Callithrix jacchus: one gene and its partner. The protein of the gene in region 1 interacts with the protein of each later gene in a biochemical or structural test. Links are inferred from orthologs where the notes say so. Each region holds a gene or a part of one and is shown in the gene's direction. Other genes may lie near its edges.

Region 1 (4,351 bases):
GCACAGTCCCCCTTTCCTGGTGAGGAAACAGAGGCTCAGAGAGATTGCCTGACATGCCTGAAGTATGACAATCCGGGCTGCACATGGGATAGAAACTCACTTCCCAGATTCCAAATGGAATGCTTTCTGCAGGCCAAGCCCGAAATGCCAACCTCTAAGCTGGGCCAGGAGGAGGGGCGTGATGCAGGCTCAGCACCCTCCAGAGGGGACTCCGGCTTCCTGGGCATGGCTGTGAGCACCCTGTGTGGCGAGGTGCCGCTCTACTACATCTAGAACGCTTCAGGTGAGCAGGTGTGATCCCAGGGACCCTGATGAGCAGCGGAGGAGCCCTCGGGCCACCTGCGCTGAGCAGTGGAGGAGCGCTCAGGCTGACCAGGCGCTGGGGCGTCCACTGAAGCCTGGTCATTCAGGGAGCTCAGGGGAGGGGAGGCTCATACCCGTATTTCCCACTACCGGGAACCTCTGTCCAACCTCAACGTTCCTTTGCTTCACAGGGTCAGTGGAAGCCCCAAGGGGACAGGAAACGCCCAGAGAAAAGGGTCTTTTGCAACTTTTGCAGACGGGCAAGAAGCTGCTTCTGCCCACACCGCGGGGACAGGCCCTGGAGAAATGGGAATTTGGGGAGAGGATGGGAGTGGGCGGAGGTGGCGCCCAGGGGCCGGGGAACTCCTGCCACAACAGAATAAAGCAGCCTAATTGAAAAGCAAAGGGTCTGCTTCCATCTTCCCGCAGGACGCAGTGCTGCCCCGGCGGCGGCCGGCCAGAAAGGGAAGGGACTTGAGGGAGCAGAGAGGGGTTTGCCATTCTTCCTCTGTCTCAGGGCACTGAAGGACTGGGTCCACCCCGGCGGGGTAGAGGGACTTGCCGGGAGCCATCCACGGGCTTTCGGCGCCCTCCAGCGGCGTCTCGGGAGGAGGGAGAGACGCCGAGACAGCGAGAGAGAGCGCAAAGAGCGAGACGCGAGAGAGCGAGGGTCCGAGAAGGGGAGCGAGGGAGACGCGGGCTGAGAGACCGACCCGAGGCGGGGGCGAGGAGCAGGGGCGGCGCGAGAAACTGACAGCGTGTCCCGCGGCGGGGCGGGGGCTCGGCCGGGCGTCCGCGGGGGACGCCGCCGCTAGAGGGCACATCGGGAGCGGCAGCCCGCCAGGCACCCTGGGGGACCGAGCTCCCGCCCCGGCCCCGCGGCCCGCGCCCCGGGCGGCCCGAGCCCCCTCCGCGGGCGCGCGGCTCCCCGCCTTCCCAGCCACGGCTGGCGCGCGGCCCGGCCCGGCAGAGCACAGTCCCGGCCCCGAGGGGGGCCGAGCTCGGGCGAAAACCCGCCCTCCAGCGAGCTCATTTCCCTAAAAAGGGGGGGCGGAACGGGAGGGAGAGAAAGAAAGAGAGAAAAAGAAGGGAAGGGAGAGGGAGACGGCTGGAGCCCGAGGACCGACGCGGAGCCGCGGGCCGAGCGGGGGGCGGGAGACAGGAAGGAGGGAGGCGAGCAGAGGGAAGGGGAAGAGGTCGGGGAGCGCGGGCGGGAGCGGTCGCGGTCGCCGTCGCGATCGAGCGAGCGAGCGGGCGAGGGACGCCCTCCCCTGGCCTCCAGTGCCCGCTTCTCTCGCCGCCGCCCCGCCAGCATGCCCGGCGTGGCCCGCCTGCCGCTGCTGCTCGGGCTGCTGCTGCTCCCGCGTCCCGGCCGGCCGCTGGACTTGGCCGACTACACCTATGACCTGGCGGAGGAGGACGACCCGGAGCCCCTCAACTACAAAGACCCCTGCAAGGCGGGTGAGCGCCCCCCGGTCCCCCGGCGGCGGGCCAGGCGGGGAGGCGCGGGCGGGTTCGGGTTCGGGGTTGGGGGAGGACAGTCCAGTGTGGGAAGCCGGGAGCTGCCTGGTTGGCAATGCAGTGGGGAACAAAAGAACGAGGGGGAGAGGAAGGGGGGTTTGGGGGACTTTTCGGACTGAAGTTTTGCTGCTGGTGGAAGCTGCCGCCGCCGCCTCTCATCTTCCCAGAGGATTCCTGGGGAAGTCTCCTTGGGTCCCGGGAAAACCTGCGGGCAAGGCTGCTTTTCCTTCTGTAGGAAACTTTTCCGGCCAAACTCCTGTGCGTGTGTGTGTGTGTGTGTGTGTGTGTGCGTGCGTGCATGAGTTTTCTTTCCCCTTCTCCCTCATCTCTCCTGCTCCAGGAGCTGGGTGTTTTTCAGCCTGTGTGGGCTGCCCTGGGGCTGCACATCTGTCCGGCCTGGAGCTGGGAGGCCTGAGTCGCCAAGGAGCAAGTCCGAGGCCACCACCCAGCCCAAGTGAAAGAAATTTTGCCAGGGATTCCCTGAGACCGTGCTCTCTGGGTATCCCGTGGTTTAACCAGTAGCTGCAGCTTTCTGGGACTTAGGAGACAGCTGTCAAAGTCAGAGAAGCCAGCCCAGAAGGGGGACTTGCCTTTGCCCCTATGTGCCCAGACACCCCTGCCAAGGCCAAGTTGGGGTGGAAAGAGGGAAAATACAAAGAGAACCCAGATATTGTATATCCGCTCTGCCACCCCTGAGACACCAGAGGTTAATTAGCCGATGTCAGGGCCCCGGAGTGTGTGTTTGCCTGTATGTGTGTGTGTGTGTTCTTTGTCTCTATGTAACCCCTTCACTCCTGCTGGGCCCAGGAGGGTCCTGTCCCTGGAGTGACCAGATGGTCAGGCACTCGGGCCATTTGCCCGATTGCGTGACCCTGAGCAGGCTGTTTGGGAACACACAGGGACAAGAAAGCAGAACTTTTCCTCGACTTCCTGCCTGACTTCAGCTCATCTCCAAATAGCCAGAGCCAGGGGAAGTGGCACGGATCCTAGAATCGGACTGCCTGCATGGGGCACAGGGGGCGGAGGGGCAGGCTGCTCTAATCCTGGCTCTGGGGACCCTGTTCAGTGACTCTCCCGGGAAGATGGACCACAGGCAGGAATGAGAGACACATCCAGTGGAGATCAGGGCAAATGCCTCAGCCCTTCCCCCTCCACACCTGTTGGGCTGAGCATAAACCAGGACATTCGCTGTCATTTTTCTTGCTGGGTGCTGGGAGTGAGCACAGGGCAGAAGGGACTGCACATGGGCTTTGGAGGCAGGCACATCTAGCTTCCAATCCTGACCCAGCCACTCATGATAGCTGTGCGACCTGGAAGTGGTAATTATCATGTCTGAACTGCAGTTCTCACACCTGTAAAATGGAGAGTTGGTGGAAAGCGTTAAATATGAGAACATACATAAAACGCTTATTAGTGCCTAACACACAGTCAGCACTAAATAAATGTGGGCTCCCTACTCCTTGTCTTCTGTGCTTCAGACTCTCACTTCATTTTTTTGAGGGGTGTGGGATTGCTGATGTCTCTTTGTGCCTCTTATCCGTCAATCCATCAAAACATAATATGTGTTATGGCCTGGGATGGAACTTGTGGGACGTGCTGAGATGTACAAGCTAGGACCCTGCCCTCAAGGAGCTTATGCTCCAGTAGGGACCTAAGACACCTACAGACATAATCAACGGCACAAACCAAGCCACACTGAGTGCCATGTTGGAGGGTAGGACGCTAAAGGCTCAGGGAGTCTCCTGTCTGTCTTCAGCCTGGTGGTGGCAGAGAAAAGTGATCACAGCAGGCTGGGAAGATCTGTGGGGTCTTCATGGAGGATTTGGGGCTGGGGCCAGGCCTTAAAGAATGGTGGGAAGCCATTCTGATGTCTTTCCCTTCTTGTTGGAAATGGGAGTGATTTTCAGAGCAGTAGGAGGCTGAGGGCTCTCGCCCCCCAGTCTCAGGTTTCATGCTAAGGTGGGGCTGGCTGAGTTGGAGCTGTGAGTAAGGGTTCTGGAGAAAGCACTCCAACCGGGTGAAGTGAGGCTGGAGGGGGCGCTGGGCCAGGCCTGGGGGCAGCTGAGAGGGCCCCGGAGCCTGACAAGGCCAGGCCTTTCGTCAGATCAAGCCTCCCTCTCAGGTGTGACTGATGCTTGAGACCTGCTGCCCACCTCTGAAGGATACTCACATGGGCATTTCCAGGCGCTCACACCCACGCCCCTGGGCTACTGCCCTCCGGACACCAGTCCCTGGGCTCTGTTCTCCATGTTGCCTTCTCCTTCCTGGCTTTGCTTCCTCTACCCTCTGCAGCCCTGACCTCCAGATGCTGGAGGTGATGATGGCAAGCGTGGCTGTCCCTGCTTCTTTTCAAAGGCTGGGACTGAAAGCTCCTTTGACTCCCACAGCTTACCTGTGACCTCTTGGGTTGCTCTGAGGATAGCCAGCTCCCTTCATTGGAAGTCACCTCTGGCCATTACTGGCCGAGTTATGATTGCCGTTGTAGTAAGGGCAAAATTAAGACCCTTGATACCCTGGAGAGGTTCCT
Region 2 (4,513 bases), on another chromosome or scaffold:
TTTGCTTGTTCTGTCTCCCTTCCATCTCCTACCGTTCCACATGTGACAAGAGGAACACCCAGGCCCGTGTGGCCCTGTCTTAGGAGAGACAGCTGCTGGACCTCCCCGGCAGACACCTCCCTGCTGGCTCCCCTTTTCCTTTGGCCCTAGCTCCAGCTCCTTTCGTTCTTCCCAGTCCCAGTCTCCCCACAGTCTCTGTCCTCAGGGGCTTCCTGGCCTGACCTTGTTACCATCATCCCCCGCCCCCCAGAACTTCCTCGGCCTCTCTCCCGTTCCTCCTCGCCAAGGATGGGCATGCCTGCTGAGAAGTGTGGCCTAGATCCTGGAATTTTCCTGCTCAGCCAGACGAGATGTCTCCTAAGATTAGGAAGGAGGGTGCTGGGACGCCTGGGAGGATGGTGGGTGTGTGTGGGTGGGAGGGACAGGGAGGCAGGCGCCACCACCGAACCAAGATAAAGGAGGTTGGGAGTGGGCTGGAGAGGCAGAGGGTCTCTTGGGTGAAGGAAGGGGGTGAGAAAGCAAGAGGGGACATTGGAATGGGTCTGAGGATACGTTACAATGAGAGGGAGACACTGTCACTCCACAGAAAGGGGGTAACAGCAGAATGAGGAGCGGCCTCAGAGAGGAGGTAAGGAGGCAGGCTAGGCAGTGAGAGGCTGGCGTGGGGTTTGAGGGGTGCTGTGGACCCAGGCAGGGGGGAGATCCGTTGATGGGGCTTTCTTGTACATTGTCATCTGCAAGGGCAAGTCTTCATCCTTCGGGCGGGCAGAACAGAACCGGGTCCTCGCTCACTGAGCGGTCCAGGCCTCAGGCCTAGCCTCTGCCCCTCCCTGGCCAGAGTCTCCCGTCCTGGGCTGGCCACCGACCTCCTGGTCCAGCCGCCCTGTGGCCGCCGGCGGGGGGGCGGGGGGGCTCCGGGCCCGCCTCTCCTCCCCCTCTTCGCGCCCCCTGGTCCCTCCCCTCCCCCTCCCCCGCCCCTCCCTCCTCCCCTGCCCGGTCCCAGCCCCTCCCTCCCCTCCCCCACCCGCGATCCGGGCCGCCGCCGCTGGGCCGGACCCCCCGGGCTCAGCCCGGCCCCTCGCCGAGCCGCCGCCGCCGCCCCGTTTGCTGAGGAGGAGGCCCCCGGCCGGGGCGTTGGGCGCGAGGCATAAAACGGGCCGGAGCCGGCGCCCGGGGCAGTAGAGCCGCGTACGGCCCGGGTCAGTGCCCGCCTGCCTGCCCGCGCTCCTCCCTGCTGCTCCTCCCGCCCCGCCCGGCCCGGCGCCGACTCTGCGGCCGCCCGACGAGCCCCTCGCGGCACTGCCCCGGCCCCGGCCCCGGCCCCGGCCCCGGCCCCCTCCCGCCGCACCGCCCCCGGCCCGGCCCTCCGCCCTCCGCCCTCCGCCCCCCTCCCTCCGCCCGCTCGGCGCCCTCCTCCCTCCCGCCTCCCCAGCTGTCCCGTTCGCGTCATGCCGAGCCTCCCGGCCCCGCCGGCCCCGCTGCTGCTCCTCGGGCTGCTGCTGCTCGGCTCCCGGCCCGCCCGCGGCGCCGGCCCTGATCCCCCCGCGCTGCCCATCCGTTCCGAGAAGGAACCGCTGCCCGTTCGGGGAGCGGCAGGTAGGTGGGCGCCCGGGGGAGGCGCGGGCGGGAAGTCGGGCTCGGGCGCAGGTGGCTCGGCGCGGCTGGCGGCCGGAGGGTGGGCGGGGGCCGAGGGGCGCGGCGCCCGGGACCTGGGACCCGTGGGCAGCCCCAGGGGCGGCACACGGCGCGAGCAGGGCAGCGGCCGCCAGCCAAGCCCGTCCCCGCAGGCTGCTCCTTCGGCGGGAAGGTCTATGCCTTGGACGAGACGTGGCACCCGGACCTGGGGGAACCCTTCGGGGTGATGCGCTGCGTGCTGTGCGCCTGCGAGGCGGTGAGTACACCCCGCAGCCGGTCCGGGCCCTGGCGGGCGGGTGGGGAGCCCCGGGGTGCGCGGGCGTCGGAGTGAACTCGGAGCTGCCGAGGAGGAGGCCAGTCGGCAGAGGTTGGGGGGCGGTTTCTGGTGGAGGAAGAGGAACCGGCCCCTTCAAGTCTTAGGTGCTGACTGTGACTGATCGCCCACCCTGCGCGAGGCTCTGTGCCAACTGCGTTTCGTTCCCTGCTCACCTAACTCCCCTGGCAGCCTTCCTAGATAGACAGTATTATTATTCCCATTTTCCAGACGGGGACCGTGAGGCCCAGAGAGGTGAAGCAGCTTGTGTAGGGTCACGAAGCTTGCAAGTGGCAGAGCTGGCAGACTCTGCGGGACATCCTTGCCCGGGGGTCTCACCAGCTGGCATCTTGCACTCACTTGGTTTTCCCGCCTTTTCCGGGAGCAGCCTCAGTGGGGTCGCCGTACCAGGGGCCCTGGCAGGGTCAGCTGCAAGAACATCAAACCAGAATGCCCGACTCTGGCCTGTGGGCAGCCGCGCCAGCTGCCGGGACACTGCTGCCAGACCTGCCCCCAGGGTAAAGCTTGCTCCGCCCTGCGGGGAGGGCTGCGGGCCTTGATGCTAGGTCCCGAACCACTTGGATGGGGCGGCAGACTGGCCTTTACCACGGGCCCGCTGAAGCCCGTGCTCCCCTCCCGCTCCACCCCCGAACCACCCCCCCACCTCTTCGCAGAGCGCAGCAGTTCGGAGCCGCAGCCCAGCGGCCTGTCCTTCGAGTATCCGAGGGACCCGGAGCATCGCAGTTACAGCGACCACGGAGAGCCAGGCACTGAGGAGCGGGCCCGTGGTGACGGCCACACGGGTAGGGGGCTGGTGGACATTGGGGTTGTGGTTGAGGCTGGGCCACCAAAGCAGCGTTTGACAGTGCTCAGGCCATCTTCCTCCTGTCCCAGACTTCGTGGCGCTGCTGACAGGGCCAAGGTCGCAGGCGGTAGCACGAGCCCGAGTCTCGCTGCTGCGCTCTAGCCTCCGCTTCTCCATCTCCTACAGGCGGTGAGAAAGGGGAAGGAGCAAGGAGGGGTCAGCTGCCGGCCGGCCGGCCGGGAGGGAAACTGGGAGAGCCGGGAGGAGGAGCTGCTTTTGGCTCTGACCGGCCTCACCCGACCTCTCATTCCCAGGCTGGACCGCCCCACCAGGGTCCGCTTCTCAGATTCCAATGGCAGTGTCCTGTTTGAGCACCCTGCAGCCCCCACCCAAGATGGCCTGGTGAGATGATGCCATTTGTGAGCACTGGTCCAGTCTGGGCACTGTGCTGAGAGCATTCTCTGCATTGCCTTCTGTGGTCCTCACCACAGCCCAGTGGGAAGAAGGCACTGACAGGATGATGTCCATTTTACAGACAGGGGTACTGAGGCTCAGTAGGAGGGTGGGATTCTTGGAAGTACACAGCTAGCAAGTGGTGCAGCCAGGGCTGGAACCCAAGCATCTGGCTCCGGGGTTCTTTCTTAAGCTTCCTAGGGCACCCTGGAGGCTCCTTCCCATGTTCCTTTTTCACCAGGCCTTGGCCTGCTAACTGGCCTAGCCAGCGCAATATCTGAGCGTAGGGCCCTCTTGTCTATGCTCCAGGTCTGTGGAGTGTGGCGGGCAGTGCCTCGCTTGTCTCTGCGGCTCCTTAGGGCGGAACAGCTACATGTGGCACTTGTGACACTCACTCACCCTTCGGGGGAGGTCTGGGGGCCTCTCCTCCGGCACCGAGCTCTGGCTGCAGGTAGGGAGCACAGAGCCCCGGGTGTGGAGCTCCAAGTCTTCTCTGTCCCCAGGAAAGGGGAGGGAGGTTTCTGACGGGCTCTTGTCATCATCCCTTCCCCAGAGACCTTCAGTGCCATCCTCACACTAGAAGGCCCCCCACAGCAGGACGTAGGGGGCATCGCTCTGCTCACTCTCAGTGATACAGAGGACTCCTTGCATTTTTTGCTGCTTTTCCGAGGGCTGCTGGAACCCAGGAGTGGGGGTAAGTGGGATGGGGGCAAAACATGTGAGAAGGTTAGGGAGAGCACCTGTCTCAGAAAGGCCCACATGTGCGGCCTTGCAGGACGAACCCAGGTTCCCTTGAGGCTCCAGATTCTACACCAGGGGCAACTACTGCGAGAGCTTCAGGCCAATGTCTCAGCCCAGGTGAGTGGGGACCTGGCTCTGGCCACCACTTGCTTTGGCCTCTTGCTATTGCCCATCACACCCTGCTCTGTCCCCAGGAACCAGGCTTTGCTGAGGTACTGCCCACCCTGACAGTCCAGGAAATGGACTGGCTGGTGCTGGGGGAGCTGCAGATGGCCCTGGAGAGGGCAGGCAGGTCAGGGCTGCGCATCAGCGGACACATTGCTGCCAGGAAGAGCTGTGACGGTGAGGCAGGGTGGGGCCTGGTGCCCTGGGCGTGTACAACTGAGAGGCACAGACACGTGCCAGGGAGGGGCCAAAGTGGGCATGGGAGTGATCCTGAGGCCTGGGGGTGTAAGCAGCCATGGGGTAAGCCTAGTCTCAACTGTCTCATGCCCCTCTGTAGCCCTGCAAAGTGTCCTTTGTGGGGCTGATGCCCTGATCCCAGTCCAGACGGGTGCTGCCGGCTC

Evidence for each region.
Region 2: of the proteins of BMP1 (region 1) and CHRD, one has a biochemical effect on the other in vitro, tested with the Homo sapiens proteins (3 studies listed by BioGRID and IntAct). The link is inferred for Callithrix jacchus from reciprocal best matches to the Homo sapiens genes BMP1 and CHRD.

What each region holds. Positions count from the first base shown.
Region 1 is NC_133514.1:19,321,650-19,326,000, reverse strand, and holds the start of BMP1 (bone morphogenetic protein 1), read left to right. Parts: upstream 1-1,402; 5' UTR 1,403-1,616; coding exon 1,617-1,764; intron 1,765-4,351. Other genes in the region: SFTPC (surfactant protein C), read left to right, coding at 133-273. UniProt on the Homo sapiens protein: Metalloprotease that plays key roles in regulating the formation of the extracellular matrix (ECM) via processing of various precursor proteins into mature functional enzymes or structural proteins.
Region 2 is NC_133516.1:13,356,784-13,361,296, forward strand, and holds the start of CHRD (chordin), read left to right. Parts: upstream 1-1,439; 5' UTR 1,440-1,448; coding exon 1,449-1,596; intron 1,597-1,787; coding exon 1,788-1,891; intron 1,892-2,336; coding exon 2,337-2,466; intron 2,467-2,622; coding exon 2,623-2,751; intron 2,752-2,842; coding exon 2,843-2,942; intron 2,943-3,067; coding exon 3,068-3,155; intron 3,156-3,515; coding exon 3,516-3,657; intron 3,658-3,759; coding exon 3,760-3,900; intron 3,901-3,981; coding exon 3,982-4,064; intron 4,065-4,141; coding exon 4,142-4,289; intron 4,290-4,449; coding exon 4,450-4,513. UniProt on the Homo sapiens protein: Dorsalizing factor. Key developmental protein that dorsalizes early vertebrate embryonic tissues by binding to ventralizing TGF-beta family bone morphogenetic proteins (BMPs) and sequestering them in latent complexes.